Linked DNA regions of Macaca fascicularis. The protein of the gene in region 4 purifies or fractionates together with the protein of the main gene of each other region. This does not show direct contact. Links are inferred from orthologs where the notes say so. Each region holds a gene or a part of one and is shown on either strand. Other genes may lie near its edges. The genes, in order: SETD1A, BOD1, SETD1B and CXXC1.

Evidence for each region.
Region 1: the proteins of CXXC1 (region 4) and SETD1A purify together in Homo sapiens (affinity purification with western blotting; 16 studies listed by BioGRID and IntAct, counting the BioPlex papers as one, with this or other methods). This does not show direct contact. The link is inferred for Macaca fascicularis from reciprocal best matches to the Homo sapiens genes CXXC1 and SETD1A.
Region 2: the proteins of CXXC1 (region 4) and BOD1 purify together in Homo sapiens (affinity purification with mass spectrometry; 4 studies listed by BioGRID and IntAct, counting the BioPlex papers as one, with this or other methods). This does not show direct contact. The link is inferred for Macaca fascicularis from reciprocal best matches to the Homo sapiens genes CXXC1 and BOD1.
Region 3: the proteins of CXXC1 (region 4) and SETD1B purify together in Homo sapiens (affinity purification with mass spectrometry; 11 studies listed by BioGRID and IntAct, counting the BioPlex papers as one, with this or other methods). This does not show direct contact. The link is inferred for Macaca fascicularis from reciprocal best matches to the Homo sapiens genes CXXC1 and SETD1B.

The regions. Positions count from the first base shown.
Region 1 is NC_088394.1:29,161,989-29,164,733, reverse strand, and holds the end of SETD1A (histone-lysine N-methyltransferase SETD1A), read right to left. Parts: intron 1,884-2,745; coding exon 1,746-1,883; intron 1,668-1,745; coding exon 1,494-1,667; 3' UTR 854-1,493; downstream 1-853. UniProt on the Homo sapiens protein: Histone methyltransferase that catalyzes methyl group transfer from S-adenosyl-L-methionine to the epsilon-amino group of 'Lys-4' of histone H3 (H3K4) via a non-processive mechanism.
Region 2 is NC_088380.1:180,434,578-180,439,401, reverse strand, and holds the start of BOD1 (biorientation of chromosomes in cell division protein 1), read left to right. Parts: upstream 1-1,669; 5' UTR 1,670-1,911; coding exon 1,912-2,148; intron 2,149-4,824. UniProt on the Homo sapiens protein: Required for proper chromosome biorientation through the detection or correction of syntelic attachments in mitotic spindles.
Region 3 is NC_088385.1:128,897,230-128,901,800, reverse strand, and holds the start of SETD1B (histone-lysine N-methyltransferase SETD1B), read right to left. Parts: upstream 3,122-4,571; 5' UTR 2,911-3,121; intron 2,736-2,910; exon of another isoform or gene 2,664-2,735; intron 2,634-2,663; exon of another isoform or gene 2,415-2,633; intron 1,920-2,414; 5' UTR 1,906-1,919; coding exon 1,732-1,905; intron 1,525-1,731; coding exon 1,426-1,524; intron 802-1,425; coding exon 531-801; intron 1-530. UniProt on the Homo sapiens protein: Histone methyltransferase that catalyzes methyl group transfer from S-adenosyl-L-methionine to the epsilon-amino group of 'Lys-4' of histone H3 (H3K4) via a non-processive mechanism.
Region 4 is NC_088392.1:39,459,164-39,462,558, forward strand, and holds the end of CXXC1 (CXXC-type zinc finger protein 1), read left to right. Parts: coding exon 1-89; intron 90-246; coding exon 247-431; intron 432-704; coding exon 705-912; intron 913-990; coding exon 991-1,101; intron 1,102-1,240; coding exon 1,241-1,290; intron 1,291-1,431; coding exon 1,432-1,528; intron 1,529-1,787; coding exon 1,788-1,940; intron 1,941-2,054; coding exon 2,055-2,201; 3' UTR 2,202-2,447; downstream 2,448-3,395. UniProt on the Homo sapiens protein: Transcriptional activator that exhibits a unique DNA binding specificity for CpG unmethylated motifs with a preference for CpGG.

The DNA.
Region 1 (2,745 bases), on a different chromosome or scaffold from region 4:
ACCAGCCATCTGCCCCTGCTGATGGCTGAGTTATGGAGAGAGGGACGGGCTTGGGGTACAGGAAGGGGTCAGGGTTTGGGGAGAGAGGTCTGAGGGCAGTAAAAGGGTGGGGAGGCCGGGAGTTGAGGGAGGTGGAGGGAAGGTTATAGGAAGGTGGGAAGGGCCGGAGGGAGGGAAAGGCCACCTGGGTGGGCACTGGCAGCGCCTCTGCCTACCTGCAGCCGCTGTCCCAGGGTGCCCAGACTGGCCTGGAGGGGCCCTCTTCTTTCGTCCAGGGCTGGCCAGCCCACACACCGTCCCCTTCCGCTGGCTCCTCCTTCTCCCTCCTGCCCCATTCCAGGAACAGAGACCCGCCCAGCCACAACCCCCACCACTCTTGCCCTAAGGCGCCCCCTGGCGGCCACTCTGTGCTCCACTGGCATCCGGGTCCAGCAGAGAACTTGGGGTGATGAAGCTGGAACTTGCTGAGTGGGCTAAGGGGTCCGGGGCTCTGGGTGGAGCCAGCGGGTGACCTCATCCCACAGTGTGACCTCAGGCCTTCCCTCCCGCTGGGCTTCCCAGGAGGCCAGAGGCCCAGCTGCAGCTGTGGTTCTGGGAAGGGGAGGCCTGACCTTGGCACTGCCCTGGCGGGCACTGGTGGGGGATTCCTGGTGTGGGTGCGGCTGCGGCTGCCACGGCCTGTCTAGGGGTCCAAAGCAGTCTCGGGGCCTCCACAGGTCTGGGTTGTTGCCTGAAGGCCCCTTTACCAGCCTCACACTTCAGGTACTCACTTTTCCCTCTCTTCATCTTGCCCAATCCTCTGTGCCCTCCACCCCCAACCCCTTGCTCCTGCCCAAATACACCAACCAAGCACTTTTGTACAATAAAGTTTAATCACAATTATAAAAATGTGGCGTCAGGTTTGCGCTATTAACATATGTACAGTCCAGCCCAGCAGAAGGGGCCCACCCCGCCATCCTGGCCTGGCTGAGCCGGGGCGTGACACCAGGGTGGGAGGGTGACCCTCAGGGTCTGGCAGGAACAGATGAGGCAGGGTTCCAGGCACGGAGTCCCCAGGACTGGGGGTGCAGAGCCCCCCCAGGGGGGGAACATGGCCACTGCCCCAGAGACCCCTAAACTGGGGAGGGGTACACGCAGGGCATAAGGGGAAGTCCCCATTAACACAAAGCGAGAGGACTGTGCAGCCCCTAGGACAGAATCTGTACAGGCCGGCACCCCAGGTTTCCACAGGAAACAGCTGCTGGCTGCTACAAAACATTTACAGCTTCTTCTCCGCAAAGAAAAACAATCAGGGGGTGGTGGGCAGGGGCGACAGGAGAGGCAGAAGCTGCCTCCAGGGACTGAGGCTCCCTCGCTGGGCTTGGGGCCCCCCAACCCCACGCTTGGAGATGGGGGCATGTGGGCCCTGCTGAGCCCACTAAGGCTGGGGGGTGCTGGGAGCTCAGGGCACCAGGGGGAATAAATAGGGGTGTGGGCACCCGTCCTGCCCCACCTCAGTTTAGGGAGCCCCGGCAGCTCTCCGTGCCGCACAGACACGGGATCTTGTTGTCTTCCAGTGGGAACTTGTAGTCGTAGGTGATCTCCTCGTCCACGCCGATAGGCTGCTTGGAGTAGATCACAATCTTCTTCTGGGACTCGATGGTGATGACCTTGGCGTAGCAGTTGGGCTGCGGAGGGAAGGGCATGTGAGCCGTGGCCACCCCCACCGACCCCCGAACTCCTGCCCCGGCCAGCCCCTGACGCACCGTGCAGCAGTGGTTGATGAACCTGGCCAGGTTGCCACACTTGGTGGCATCGATGATGGTGTCATGGTCCACCCGGAACAGGTAGCTGCTGCCAATGCCCTCCTGCACGTAGCGCTTCTCCCGCATGTCGGCCACCATCTGTCAGGGTGAGATGCGATGGTCAGGGAAGAGCCCCCCACTTCCTGCCCGCGAGCACACCTGCCAGCCAGCACCCCAGGTCCATGCCCACCAGGCCTGGAGCTGCAGCTCTGCCTCCGGCTCCCGCTAACCCGGCACTGACTCTCTCGACTCTGCTTCCAGGAGCCCTCCCTCTTTGGGGCAGCATACTAAGCCTCTGGTGGCCATTCTAAGTCACCCGCAGGGGACTCCAGGGAAATCTGCATCGGGAAGGAGAGCCACTGGCTCCTTCGAGCATCTGCCTGATCACAGTGGGGTCCCCGGACTGCTGGGGCAAGTCTGGGGCTGGGGCAGCTCCTGAAATGACAGTGGCCATGTCACCAATGGCACCCTGCTCATCTCTCCTCCCTGGACCTCTCTCCAAAACAGGCACCTGTTGGCTGCCACCGACCAATGCAAATAGCAGGCCGCCCATGTTAGGCCCCGCACCCCTGTGAGGAGCAACCCTTACTTCCCAGAAGACAGTGAGGAGCCTCTGCGTGCCCTCCTCGGGTGACCTCACTCCCTTCCAGAGCCTCAGCCGCCAGCTGTGTGGTGGGGACTCCTCCCAAACTTCCATTTCCAGCCAAAAGCCACCTCAGTGGAGCTGCTGGGCGTCGTCCCCTAGATGTCCCTGGGGCACTGCAACCCCACATGTCCAGACTGGAGCTCATCTTGACCACATATCTGTTCTTCCTCCTCACTCCCAGCTCACTGGCCATCCCACCATACTCCCAGCGGCTAAGAGCAGCACCAAGGGCCTCCTATCCCCCTCACCCTCTCACTGCTGAGCTCAGTCAACCACCTTGCACCTTCTCTGTCACCTCTGCTGCCACTGCTTGGG
Region 2 (4,824 bases), on a different chromosome or scaffold from region 4:
CTTCTCCAGGGGCTGAAGGTGAGTGATCAGTGTGGAGTCAACCAGTAGAAACAGACATTAGGTAATCTCAAAGATGGTGAGCTATCAAGAAAGAATGTTTGTCATTAACTGACCCATTGTGAATGAGCTGGTGTTAGAGGATGAGTATAATCCAACACCTGAATGTTTCTTTTGAGGGTTAAACTCTCTTGGCCAGGTGTGCAGTGGCTCACACCTGTAATTCCTGCACTTTGGAAGGCCAAGTCGGGTAGATCACTTGAGGTCAGGAATTCGAGACCAGCCTGGCCAACATGGGAAACCCCTACCTCTACTAAAAATACTAAAATTAGCCAGGTGTGGTGGCATGAGCCTGTAATCCCAGTTACTCGGGAGGCTGAGGCAGAAGAATCGCTTGAACCCAGGAAGCAGAGGCTGCAGTGAGCCAAGATCGCACCACTGCACTCCAGCCTGGGCAATACAGTGAGACTCCGTCTCAAAAAAAAAAAAAAAAAATTTAAACTGTCTTGAGTACTAAATATTGGTGTGGAGAACATCCTGGATCTTTGCCAATTCTGCATCTTCCCAGAAGCCAAGGATATTGCAGAATTTGATATTTACATCCCCTCTACTGCTTGTGTAGGATGAGGAAATAACAATAGCAGACATAATTGCTGAGGTTGGGTAGGGGGAGTTGAGCTAACAATAGGCAAAAGATGAAGGGAAGAGAGGATAATGGTGGCAGCTATGGGATTCCAATGGTGAATTGCGGCTACTTAAAAAAACTCAGGATATAAAGCCTTACCTATTGTGGGATACCAACTAGCTCTCAGGATACCTCAGGCTAAACAAGCGAGATTTAGATCCTCAAAACCTGGGTTCAAATCCTACTCTTCTACCTCTAGGTATGTGATTAGGTTAACAAACTTTCTCTGCCTCCATTTCTACGTCTGTAAATAGCAATAATGGTAGTATGTGCCTGCTTTTTAGATTATTGTGAAGCAGTGCGTGCAAAGTGCATAGCATCACTCCTGGTACTTTTTAATTATTCAATATTGGCTTATTATTATTGACAATATTTAATATTTGGGAGGAAATCCACACACATATAAGAGAGACTTAACGAAAACTTTTATTTTCTTCTTCACACTTTTCCGTTATTTTCCAATTTTCTAAAATGAGTATGCATTGCTATTAACACCCAAAGGAGGGAAACCCACAAATTTCTGAACAATAGACGTTTGACTGTTTCAACTTTTCCGGAATTTCCCGGAACACGTTGTTCAAGGAGGACATGGGGGTGCATGCTAAAAGCACGGATTGCTAGGTCTCGATCCGTAAATACTAGGTCAAAATCTTTAAGAAATAATTCTGGTAATCTATACTTTTAACCAGCTCCACAGATGACTGTTACAATCAGGCACTCCTGGGACGTGTTGATTGAATGGGAAGTCAGCAGAGAGTGGGCGGGGAAGGCCAGGCGGGTTGCAGCGATCACGAGGAGTGCGCCTACAATTCCCATATTGCCCCGCGAAATAGCGACGAGCAAGCCAGAGCCCTGCCGGGAGTTGTAGTTTCCCTTGCTAGGCCGCTGCCTATAAAGAACGCCGGAGATGGCTACAGAAAACTTCCCGCCCCACAATGCAAAGGCCAACGGCGACGCCATCTAGGGCGCGCCTGGAATCGAGCAGGCAGTTTCTGCCGCGTCTGCCACAACCTCTGCTGTCTCAGAGCTGGCCTTCGCCGCCGCCGCCCCCACCACCGCCCCCGCCGCCATCGCCACCGCCACCGCCGCCACCACCACCGTCACCTCCGCCGTTGCCGCCTTGGGGCCCTCCTCCTTCACCGCCCCCTTCGCCACCTCTACACGTTCAAGGCCTTCTGTCTTGGAGAAGAAGCTATTATCGGTCTCCCTTGTGGGCCCGGGGCACAGCCATGGCGGACGGCGGCGGCGGCGGGGGAACGGGCGCGGTGGGCGGTGGCGGAGCGGGCCAGGCCTCTGCCGGGGCAGCGACTGGCGCTACTGGGGCCAGCGGGGGCGGTGGCCCCATCAACCCGGCCTCGCTGCCACCCGGCGACCCGCAGCTCATCGCTCTCATCGTGGAGCAGCTCAAGAGCCGGGGCCTTTTTGACAGCTTCCGCCGGGACTGCCTGGCCGACGTGGACACCAAGGTAGCTGCGGCCGCCTGGGCATGGGGGAGCGGGGCTGCACGTGAGGCCGCTGGGTTGCAGCTTTGATTTTCGAAAGCCGAGAGCGAAACAAAAGATAGCTTAAAAATCTCAGCAGTGAGGTCTTACACCGCTTGGGGCAGTACGGAGAGCTTTCTGAGCGATGCACACGTGGGTTCCCGCCTGGTCATTTACTAGCTGTGATTTTACCCAGTCGCTTCTCCGAACTTGGGGTTTCGATGTGGATTTTAGAGCCTAGACCCTGTCATTCCCAAGATGGAACTCCTCTAAGGCCCTTAGTAACAAACTTCGAAACCAAGTAGTTAAGCAAGCGTGCTTTAGAATTTCCACCTGTTCCGTACTCACCACTGAGAAGCTGGCATTAAACAATGATTTGAACACACAGTCTTCACCATTTTATAACTGTTTATACGTTTTCTCTAGCTTAGTGTTTTGCAGACTTTAGTACGGCGTTGAATTAAGATAAATTGTAGAAACAGCACCCTTATTTTGCACTTCATCATTGATTAAAGGAGATTTGGTGCCTAGTTTAGATCTTAATGCATAGGTCAGTCCCACCGATAAAACACTATTTCACTTTACCTACTTGTCAGAGTGGTTTGGATTCAGTGAAATAATGGGTGTTAAGTATCAGACATACAGTAGTTGCTGGAATGTTCATTTTCTCCCTTTTCAAAACTTGCCTAACCACGACTATGGTTGTAGGTTAGGAGACTCTTGTCACTGGACTCCTACAGGGTAGTAATTTCTCCTACCAAAGCCTGTCATGGAAACATTTTGCTTACCTCACAGCAAGATTGTGAGCTTAGAATTAGACCTTCAGATAGGGAAAAACCCTAGTCTGTTTATTCATTGAACGTTTATTGGCCTCTAGTTGCCAAACTGTGTGATTACAGGAAAAAGTCACTACCCCATCCTCAAAGCTTATAGTCTAGGATAGAAAACTGACCTGTAAACCAGGTGGTAAATACGTATGTAGAGAGAGAAAGTGGTATACACTGTTACTTCTCCAAGAAGAAAATCCCATCTAGAAGTACTGTCCTTGAAACAAAGTAATTTCATACATATACATCCCAGATATGTATTGACAGAGCTTTCACCTTTCCTAGGACAAATTCTCCATTCATATTTCTTATATTCCGTTAGGTTTTGTGTGTGATTTTAAAACAAAAACGACTACAGTAGCCCGCCCCATCCAAGGTTTTGCTTTCTGCGGTTTCATTTACCCAATTGTTGCGGTATGGAAGTACTTGTGTTCAGGTAACCCTTATTTTACTTCATAATGGCCCTCAAAGAAATTCATGCGTAGTGTATATAGGGTTCAGTACTACCTGAGGTTTCAGGCACCCACTGGGGGTCTTGGAACGGATCCCCTGAGGGGAAAGGGACTACTGTCTTGAGCGACTGTTGAGGGAGAGTGGTTGGAACCTTCCCATGTTCAGCTCCTTAGCTCTTCCTTCTATTACAGGTTGTTTTAATTCTTGAAGATAATGTTTTTTCAGGCATATGTTATCTGAGACCTTCGTTGCTTTAGCCCAATGGTTCTCAAAGTGTGGTGCTTGGATTAACACCAGCATCACCTGAGAACTTGTTAGAACTGCACATATTGGGCCCCACCCCAGACTGCTGAAGTAATTAGGGGAAATTGAACAGATGTCTGTAATTTGCAGTGCATCCAAAAACAAATAGAACTGATAAGCGAACAGGTGGAGTGGTTGGCAGTACAGTAAAACGTTGAGTGGGCTCATGAGTTCCTTTGACTTCTTGAACTGAGATTATTCTGTATCACCTGGGTTTGTTACATGTTTTGGTGGTGATGTTCACTGACCTTTGTCCTTTTTCAATAAACAGTTTGTATCATCTCAAACCAGGTGAGTTCTTTTGAGTAGAAGGTGTGGTATCAGGATTTATGCTTACAAGGGACAAAAATAATCCTAACTGCTTTATGCAAAGGGGAGAATCTATTGCCTCATGGAATCCAAGGAAGGATTGAATGAACAAACTCTCCCAGAGGGTAGGCATGCATTTGGAACCAGATATTCCCCACTCGTTCTATGTCTTTCATCTCTGTTGATTCCTGTTTTACTGTTGCTTCAGAGTGGAATCATCCATTTGGTTACTAGCATCTCTTGATTACATTTTACAGCTTCTTCCTCTCGAGAGACTGTCAGCTCCAATTTGAGAAATCCCAGGGAATGTGTGCATTGTCTTAGCATGGCTCAGGCACCCATTCCTGTGGCACCCTCTGCCCTACCCTCGTGAAAAGAGGAAGACAGTTACTAGAAAGAAGGCGTTGCTAGGCAGATAGCACATGGTATCGGTGAATTTTACTCCTCTGCCCCCATTTCCTTGCCTTTCTCTTTTCCAGGTTTAGTGGAATCTTTGAGTTTGCTTTCTCAGCCTTTCGGAAGAGGCCAGTTGTGGAATTGAGGCCTGCTGATTCCTTTGTCAACTTCATTTCCCTGTTAGCAAACTTTGCCACAGTAATGCTGCATAACAAACTGAATCTCAGCAGCTTATAACCAGCACGGTTCACATGTTCACGGGGCAGCTAGGAAGGCTTCAGCTGGTGGCTTGGCTGCAGGCTGCTCAAATGTGGGTCCAGGCTATGGGTTGATGTCAGGCCTGCTGCATGTAGAGTTACTTAAAAGTAAATGG
Region 3 (4,571 bases), on a different chromosome or scaffold from region 4:
ACACTCCCGGCCCCAGATTGGCTGCCACTTCCAGGGGGGAAGGGGCGGCAAGGGAGCGGGGGACACCCTGGATCCTTAGAGGACTCTCTTTTTAGTTTCCAGACCTTCTCTCGATGTATTTAAAGGCATCCTAGTGGCACTCCCTCAGTCCCCCACAAGTAAACAAACTCTGCCTCTTCCCCTAACACAGGCAACGCTGGGGACTGTCTAAACCCAGGCCACCAGGGCTCAGAGAGGGGGCCTGCGGGGGTGTCAGCGGTGGGGAAGCCTCTGGGTGGTCCCTAGGGGTGCGGTGGCCAAGGACCTGCACAGTTGGTAAATTACAGACTGTCTCCTAGCAACAGACAACACATTTAGCTCCACGCGACTCTACCCTCAGGAGGGGGCTAAGAAAATAAATCAGGTTGTGGGGCGTCGCGGGGGGGATTCCAAGGAAGAGTGGGGGTGGTCCTCCCCCCGCTGCAGGAGGGACGGGGAGGGAAAGGGTCGGGCTGACAGGTCTCCCCGCGCTCCTCCCCTGCCGGGCTCACCTTTGGTGTCCAGCTCCACGTGGATAATATTGCCCATGACGGAAGTGCTGTGCAAGTGCTGAACGGCATCCTTGGCTCCCCGGACAGTGGCAAAGACCACCTTGGCGATGCCCAGGTGCTTCTTGGTCTTCGGGTTGTACAAAATCTCCACCTCCTCCACCTCCCCATACTTCTTGCACATGTCCCTCAGGAAGTTTTCGCGGATGTTATCATTCAGCTTGGCAAATGTCACCTGCTTCGGAGGCACCGGGCCCACGTAGAACTCATCGATCTGGCAGGGGCCGAGGGGGAAGGGAGTTTGGAGAACGTTTAAACCTAAGGGAAAACACAACATTCCCCCCCGCCCCCCGCAACTCGCCCGCCCGTTGAAAACAATAAAGGGTAAAAAAAACTAAAAAAAAAAAAATTTTTTGGGGGGGGAAAATGCACGCGGGCGGGCCCGGGAAGCGGAGGATTAAATCGTTTGGAACGTGGAAGTCCTCTGGGTTCGGAAGGAAAGGGGAAAAAGAAACAGTTTCTCTTTCCCCACCCCCCATTCTGGCCTCCTCTTCCTGCTGCCGGGTCAGGGGCGACCCCTCGGGCTTAGGAAGTTGTCTTTTAGGGGGCTGGCGAGAGGGGAGAGTCTCGGGGCCAAGCCCCCGGGCGGACTGGAGCCCCCCGCGGGGCGTGCAGGACACTGTATCTACGCCGTGATTACAGTTTCACCCAGTGTTATTTTGTTTACAGTAGCTGAGAGGGGACACCCTCTCGCCAGCGCTCTACCCCTCCCCGCCAAAACTTCCCTGGCCCCGGACGGCGGGAACTGGGAATCCGGCCGGGCTCGGTCAGGACTGGCGTTATTTTCGAACTCGGGGAGGTGGGGGAGGGACGGCGGGGCAGTGGGGAGGGGTCCTACTTTGAATTTGGGCACCGACAGCTCCAGCTCCTTGTTTTTGGTCCAGATCCCGACGACCCGGGGATCTTCGACAATTTCCACCGGGCGGTTGCTGGACATCTGTAGGGAGAAATTGGGGGGCCGGGATGGGAGGGCTGGTCGCCCTCCCCAGAGGCAGACCCCTTTCTCCAGGCACTTGTCAAACTCCAGGGCTGGGGCCCCGTCTGACAGTTGGCCGGGGGGTCGGGCGGGGGGTCCCCGGCCGCTAGGCGCGTCTCCCCCGGACGCGGCGGGGGACACGGCTGGGGGGGCACGCCGGCTACTCACCGCCAGGCTGAAATGCTGCCCATCGTAGCGGTACAGTTTATGATGCCCCTTTTTCAGAGCCGGGTCAATCATCAACTTGTAACTTCTCCAATGGTGGTTCCTCCTCTCGCCCGAAGGGCCGGGCTGCGGCGGGGGCTGCTGGTGGTGGTGGTGGGGGGGGTGACTGTTCTCCATGCCGTTAACCCAACCTGAAAACCAGCAAGTTGTTGTCGTCTCCGCCGCGGCGGCGGCGGCCGCTTCTACACACACGCGAAAGAATCCAATCGGCCGGCCCCCACCCCCTCCCACCTTGCCAGCGCGCCCCGAAAGGAGCTGTCTCGCTGGCTCCCCCCAAAACAAGAATGGAGCGAGAGAATAACCCTTCCGGGAGAATTACGCGCCCGCCCGCTCGGCCACCGTCTCGGGGCGGCTGCGAGGGGCTCCCGGGGGTCCCCGGGGCGGGCTGGCGGGGCCCGGGGCGCCCGGAGGACGCGGGCTCCGGCCCATGGTGCCCGCCCGGCCGCCCGGCGTGGCGCTCGCCCGCTCGCTCGGCCCGGCTGTGGCGCGGGGCTCGCGGCAGGGCCTGGCGGCGGCGGCGGCGCCGCCACCGCCCGCCCGCCCGCCCGCTCGGGCCAGGGCCGGGGCCGGGGGCTCGGGCCGCCCGGCTGCCGGCCGCGGCCTCTCCCTCCCCGAGCCGCGCTTACATCCCCGCCGGGCGCCGGCCTCCCTGCGCCGCCAGCCAGTACATGGTGTCCCCCGCGGGAGCCGAGGCCGGGGCGGCCAGACCGGGGGCCGGGAAGGGGGGGCGCCGCCGCCGCGGCTGCCGGGCCCGGAGCTGCTGCCGCCGCCGCTGCTGCTGCTGCTGCCCGGGAGGCGGCTGGCGGCGGAGGCTCGGCTCCCAGTAGCCGCACATCCCACAATACACCGCTAAGGAGCCCGACCCGAGCGCTCACCCTCCTCCTCTTCCTCCTCCTCCTCCTCTTCCTCCTCCCCTCTCCTTCCTCGCCGCTTCCCCAGGCACTCTCCCGGCGGCGGCAGCTGCGCCGCCAAAGCCCCGGGCCCCAGCGGCCCCCCACCCCTCACTCGCGCGCTCCCACACTGCCTCCCCCTCCCCGGGGGAAGGCCTTTTAATTTATTTATTCTTCTGGGACTGGGGTGGGGGTCTTGGCTGGCGGGGGAGGGGGTCTCCCCGGGCTCTACCTCCCGCGGCCGGGACTACCCTCCGAGCCGCGGCCGCCGCGGCGTGCGTCCCGGGCCTGCAAAACTGTTTCCAAACTGCCCGGGCCGGAGGCGGGCGCGCGGGGACCCGGGGAGAGGGCTGGGGTCTAGGGGGCCGAGGGTGTGTGTGGACGCTGGGAACCGCGCGGGGAGGCCGGCGTCGACTCAGAGGAGTTGCAATCGAGGTATCTGCGCTCCAGCTTCCTCCTCCGGCCCGCGACCCCCTCCCCGGAGCTGAGCTGGGGAGGGGAGACCAGGGTTCACCACGTTAGCATTCGCATTCCTGGGAGGATGTAGCCCTCGCCTGGACCTGGGCGATAGAAGCCTTCTTCTGTTTTTATTTTTGGAGGGGATCGCCCTGTAATTGTCCTGAACACATGCTTCCCCCCCTTCCTCCAGCCACCCGCGGAGGAGAGAGTCCCCCTTTTTTGCATTTATCTTTTCCTTCCCCTTTCTTTATTAAAGGTCCGGGAGTGGCGGCGGCCAATCAGCGCGCGGCTTCCATTTTGTGAGTTCAACTCCGAGGCTCCCGGGCTTCGCGAGGACGCGTTTGCAGCCCCCTCTGCCGCTTCTCTCTGGCGGCCGAGGCGCAGGAGCCGCCTCGCCGGGGCTCGGAGCTGGTGTAGCTCATATTGGGGCTCTTTTCGGGGTTTGTAATTTGGCCGTGGGTAGGTAATTGGCTGGAGCAGGGCGGCAGGGCGCGTCAGCCAATCAGCGCGCGGCTTCTATAGGGCTTGAGTTATTAGACGCTGATCTCAAAACATCCTTCATCAGACACGAAGGAGAGGCCAACAGATGAGGGAAGCCATTTTTCTGCAATGGAATTAAATGGCCAAGTGGGTTTTTCCTTTGTTGCAAATGGGGAATGTTTTTCCTTTGACTCTACCATCCAGTTCAGGACGTCTCAGTGTGTTTAACATTTGTCAACAGGCCCAAGGACTCACAGTTGGAAGACTGGAGAAGACTTTTTAAAAAGATCTGGATTTTTCCTTATGACTTGGAATCCATCTTTGTCTTGTATAACTAGGTCATAGCACACCATTCATGTCAGCAGTTAACAGTTTTGAATTCCAAAAAAACCTAAGTAAATGACATATTTTTTTCCTTTTTGTTCTTTGGGTGGGTGGGGGGAGCTTGGAGCTGTCTTAATCTGTATTCTCTTGACTGAACAATAAATTTTTAAATATATCTAGTTTCCTCTATTAAACACTTAAACCTGGCCATCTTATTAACTCCTTCTCTCTTTTTAACAAGGTAATGTTTTAAATGTATATAGCTTTAGGACTAGCGAAATGGCAGCAACAAAAAATTGTGAGCAGTTGTTACTCTTAGTTTTTAAAAAACCTTTTACATTGTAAGTACCCAATCCATTCTGTCCTGACGCAGTACAGTTTTTATGTTAATGTTGCTGAGATGTCCTTAATTTTCCGAACCTTCATCTGCATGTATGTCTTTGTCTCTCTTGTCTAATATAAGCCAGTTAAGATGCTTTGAGACGATCTTGCTTTTATAAAGCTAAGGTTCTAGCTTTATGCTTTTGAAAATGCTTACAGCACTAAATGCTAGTCAGCTTTCTTCCCCGTAGCTTGTACACTTTCTTTGAAAATCGATCTATTTGAAGAAAAACAGCCCTGTTTTTCTCG
Region 4 (3,395 bases):
TCCTGGACCCTGCGCTGCGGAAGAGGGCAGTGAAAGTGAAGCATGTGAAGCGTCGGGAGAAGAAGTCTGAGAAGAAGGTGATGGAGAGGGTAAAATGGATGTGGAAAGGCAGAGGGTGGGGTTGAGGGAGAGGCAGAGGTCAGAGGCTGAATGGGGCAAGAGCCAGAAAGGGCTAGAATGGAGCAGGAGTCTGGGGTTTGGGGCTGACTTTGACTCCACCCTGACCTGACCTGTCTTGCTTAACAGAAGGAGGAGCGATACAAGCGGCATCGGCAGAAGCAGAAGCACAAGGATAAATGGAAACACCCAGAGAGGGCTGATGCCAAGGACCCTGCGTCGCTGCCCCAGTGCCTGGGGCCCGGCTGTGTGCGCCCCGCCCAGCCCAGCTCCAAGTATTGCTCAGATGACTGTGGCATGAAGCTGGCAGCCAAGTGAGTCATTCCTGAGGGGTTCAAGGGAGTCAGGAAGTACATGGTAGGGCCTGACCACCGCCTTCTGTATGTCTACCAGTCAATCAGCTGTCCACCATTCAGTCACCAAACAGCCACTACCCACTCACCCATCCACCTATCCGCCCCGTGTCCATCCAGCCACCATTCCACCAGTCACCTGTTTATTTCTCCTTTTGCCATTTAGTCATGCATCTGTTTTCCCACCCTCACTGATCATCTCACTCATTCTGTTGCTTGCTACCTTCCCTGCAGCCGCATCTATGAGATCCTCCCCCAGCGCATCCAGCAGTGGCAGCAGAGCCCTTGCATTGCTGAAGAGCACGGCAAGAAGCTGCTGGAACGCATTCGCCGAGAGCAGCAGAGTGCCCGCACTCGCCTTCAGGAAATGGAACGCCGATTCCATGAGCTTGAGGCCATCATTCTGCGTGCCAAGCAGCAGGCTGTGCGCGAGGATGAGGAGGTGAGCAAGCAGGGGCGCAGCGGGGCAGGGCCGGTACTTTGTCCTTCCTAGCCTTATTGTTCCTTCCACCCCATGCAGAGCAACGAGGGTGACAGTGATGACACAGACCTGCAGATCTTCTGTGTTTCCTGTGGGCACCCCATCAACCCACGTGTTGCCTTGCGCCACATGGAGCGCTGCTATGCCAAGGTTGGGGGTCAGACTGAGGGGGCAGACCATGTGGGAACATCGGTGGGCCAGTGGGGGACAGATTTGTTGTCTGGGTGGTGTCCTGGGAGGGCATGCAGCGCACATCCACAGTTCCCTCCATTTGTGCTCATCCCTCCAGTATGAGAGCCAGACATCCTTTGGGTCCATGTACCCCACACGCATTGAAGGGTAAGTGAGGGTGCCACGCGAAGTGAGAGGTGGGGGGTTAAGGCGGAGGTCAGAAGTGGGATGTGTGTGGAACTGGGGCAGGATACGGGCAAGGACAGGTGGACCTCCCTTTACTACCCTCTCTTTATTCCAAACCCCCAGGGCCACACGACTCTTCTGTGATGTGTATAATCCTCAGAGCAAAACATACTGTAAGCGGCTCCAGGTGCTGTGCCCCGAGCACTCACGGGACCCCAAAGTAAGGTTTTCCCTCAGCTCCTCCCATTTTGCCCCTCCTCCCTGCCTCACTGTCCCACATTCATCCCTGCCTCCCTCACCTCACCTTTCCTTCACTTTTTCCTCTCACCTTCCCTGCTGCTTCACCCTCCATTCCTCCCTTTTCCATGCCTCCTCACCGTTCCCTGAACCCTCCATTCCTTCCCTTCTCCCTCCTTGAGCCCCCATTCTTACTCTCCCTTATCACCATTATTCATCCCTCCAACCCGGCCTCCCTGCAGGTGCCAGCTGACGAGGTATGCGGGTGCCCCCTTGTACGTGATGTCTTTGAGCTCACGGGTGACTTCTGCCGCCTGCCCAAACGCCAGTGCAATCGCCATTACTGCTGGGAGAAGCTGCGGCGTGCGGAAGTGGACTTGGAGCGCGTGCGTGTGGTAGGTTTCGCTGTGGTTTCATGGTGCATGTGGTAGGTTTCCATGCCGGACGTGGCCGAGGGCAGGCGGGGCTTCAGTTGTTCCTGCTTAGGACTCCTGCCGCTCTCTTGGCAGTGGTACAAGCTGGACGAGCTGTTTGAGCAGGAGCGCAATGTGCGCACAGCCATGACAAACCGCGCGGGATTGCTGGCCTTGATGCTGCACCAGACAATCCAGCACGATCCCCTCACTACCGACCTGCGCTCCAGTGCCGACCGCTGAGCCTTCTGGCCCGGACCCCTCACACCCTGCATTCCAGATGGGGGAGCTGCCCGGTGCCCATGTGTCCGTTCCTCCACTCATCTGTTTCTCTGGTTCTCCCTGTGCCCATCCACCGGTTGACCGCCCGTCTGCCTTTATCAGAGGGTCTGTCCCCGTCGACATGTTCAGTGCCTGGTGGGGCTGCGGAGTCCACTCATCCTTGCCTCCTCTCCCTGGGTTTTGTTAATAAAATTTTGAAGAAACCAAGGAAGCTGTGTCCACATTGCTGCGGTTGCAACTGTTCCAGACTCCTGGATAAGATGGGGGGCGCCTGCACCCCGGGAGGGCCCAGGGACCCACATTCCCAGCCTCCCACAGGCAGAGGGTCTACGCAGCACGTATTCAGTGTGGTGACACCGCCCACGCGTGCTCCTGTCTCCCACCCAGAGCTGTCCTCCACTGTGGACGCCAGGCCCCGCCTTTTCCCAACAAGCCCCACGTTGGGGATTCGCCTCCTGCAGGGGCGCGCCCTCCCGCGTGCCTCAGTTTACCTGCGGTGCGTCACCGCCCCTTTCCCCGCCCCGCGCGCTCCAGCACCTGTTCGGCGGGGAGGAGGGAGCGGGACACGACCGCCCTGGGGTTGATGTTCGGAGGGACCGGCGAGCACAGGATAGACCCCAGCGAGAGATGGGAGAAGAGAGCGCCGGCTGGGTCAGGGAGTGCGCAGGCGCGAAGCAGCTTCCTCGCCGCTGTGGGTATCCGCCTCGGAGACCGCGGGAGGGAAGGGAGGGCGCAGGCGCAAGCCCTCCCCGACGACTTCCCTTCAGTTTGAGACTGGAGAGCGCATGCGCAAGCTAGATGGTCAGCGAGCACAGCCCCGACTGCAGGTCCCTCCTTCGATGGGGCACGAGCTGTCGTTGAACGTCAGCACGCAGATGCAACTGGTTTTCGGCCGGGGGGCGCGCGCCCCGCTGCAGAGCGCCAGCCCGCAGGCGCGGGAGCCTCCCTATTAAGGGCACGCGACGTCGAGGCAATAGCGCGCAGGTGCTTAGCCAGAGGCGGAGCCCGAGAGGAAGGCAGCGGACTTCCGGTTCCGGGAGCAACGAACAGCCGCGGAGGCGACAGCTACCGCTTCAGAGGAGGCGGCCGCGGAGGAGGAAGAAGGGGAGGAGGGCGAGGCGGGAGGCGCAGGAGGGACCCTAGCCATGGGTCCAC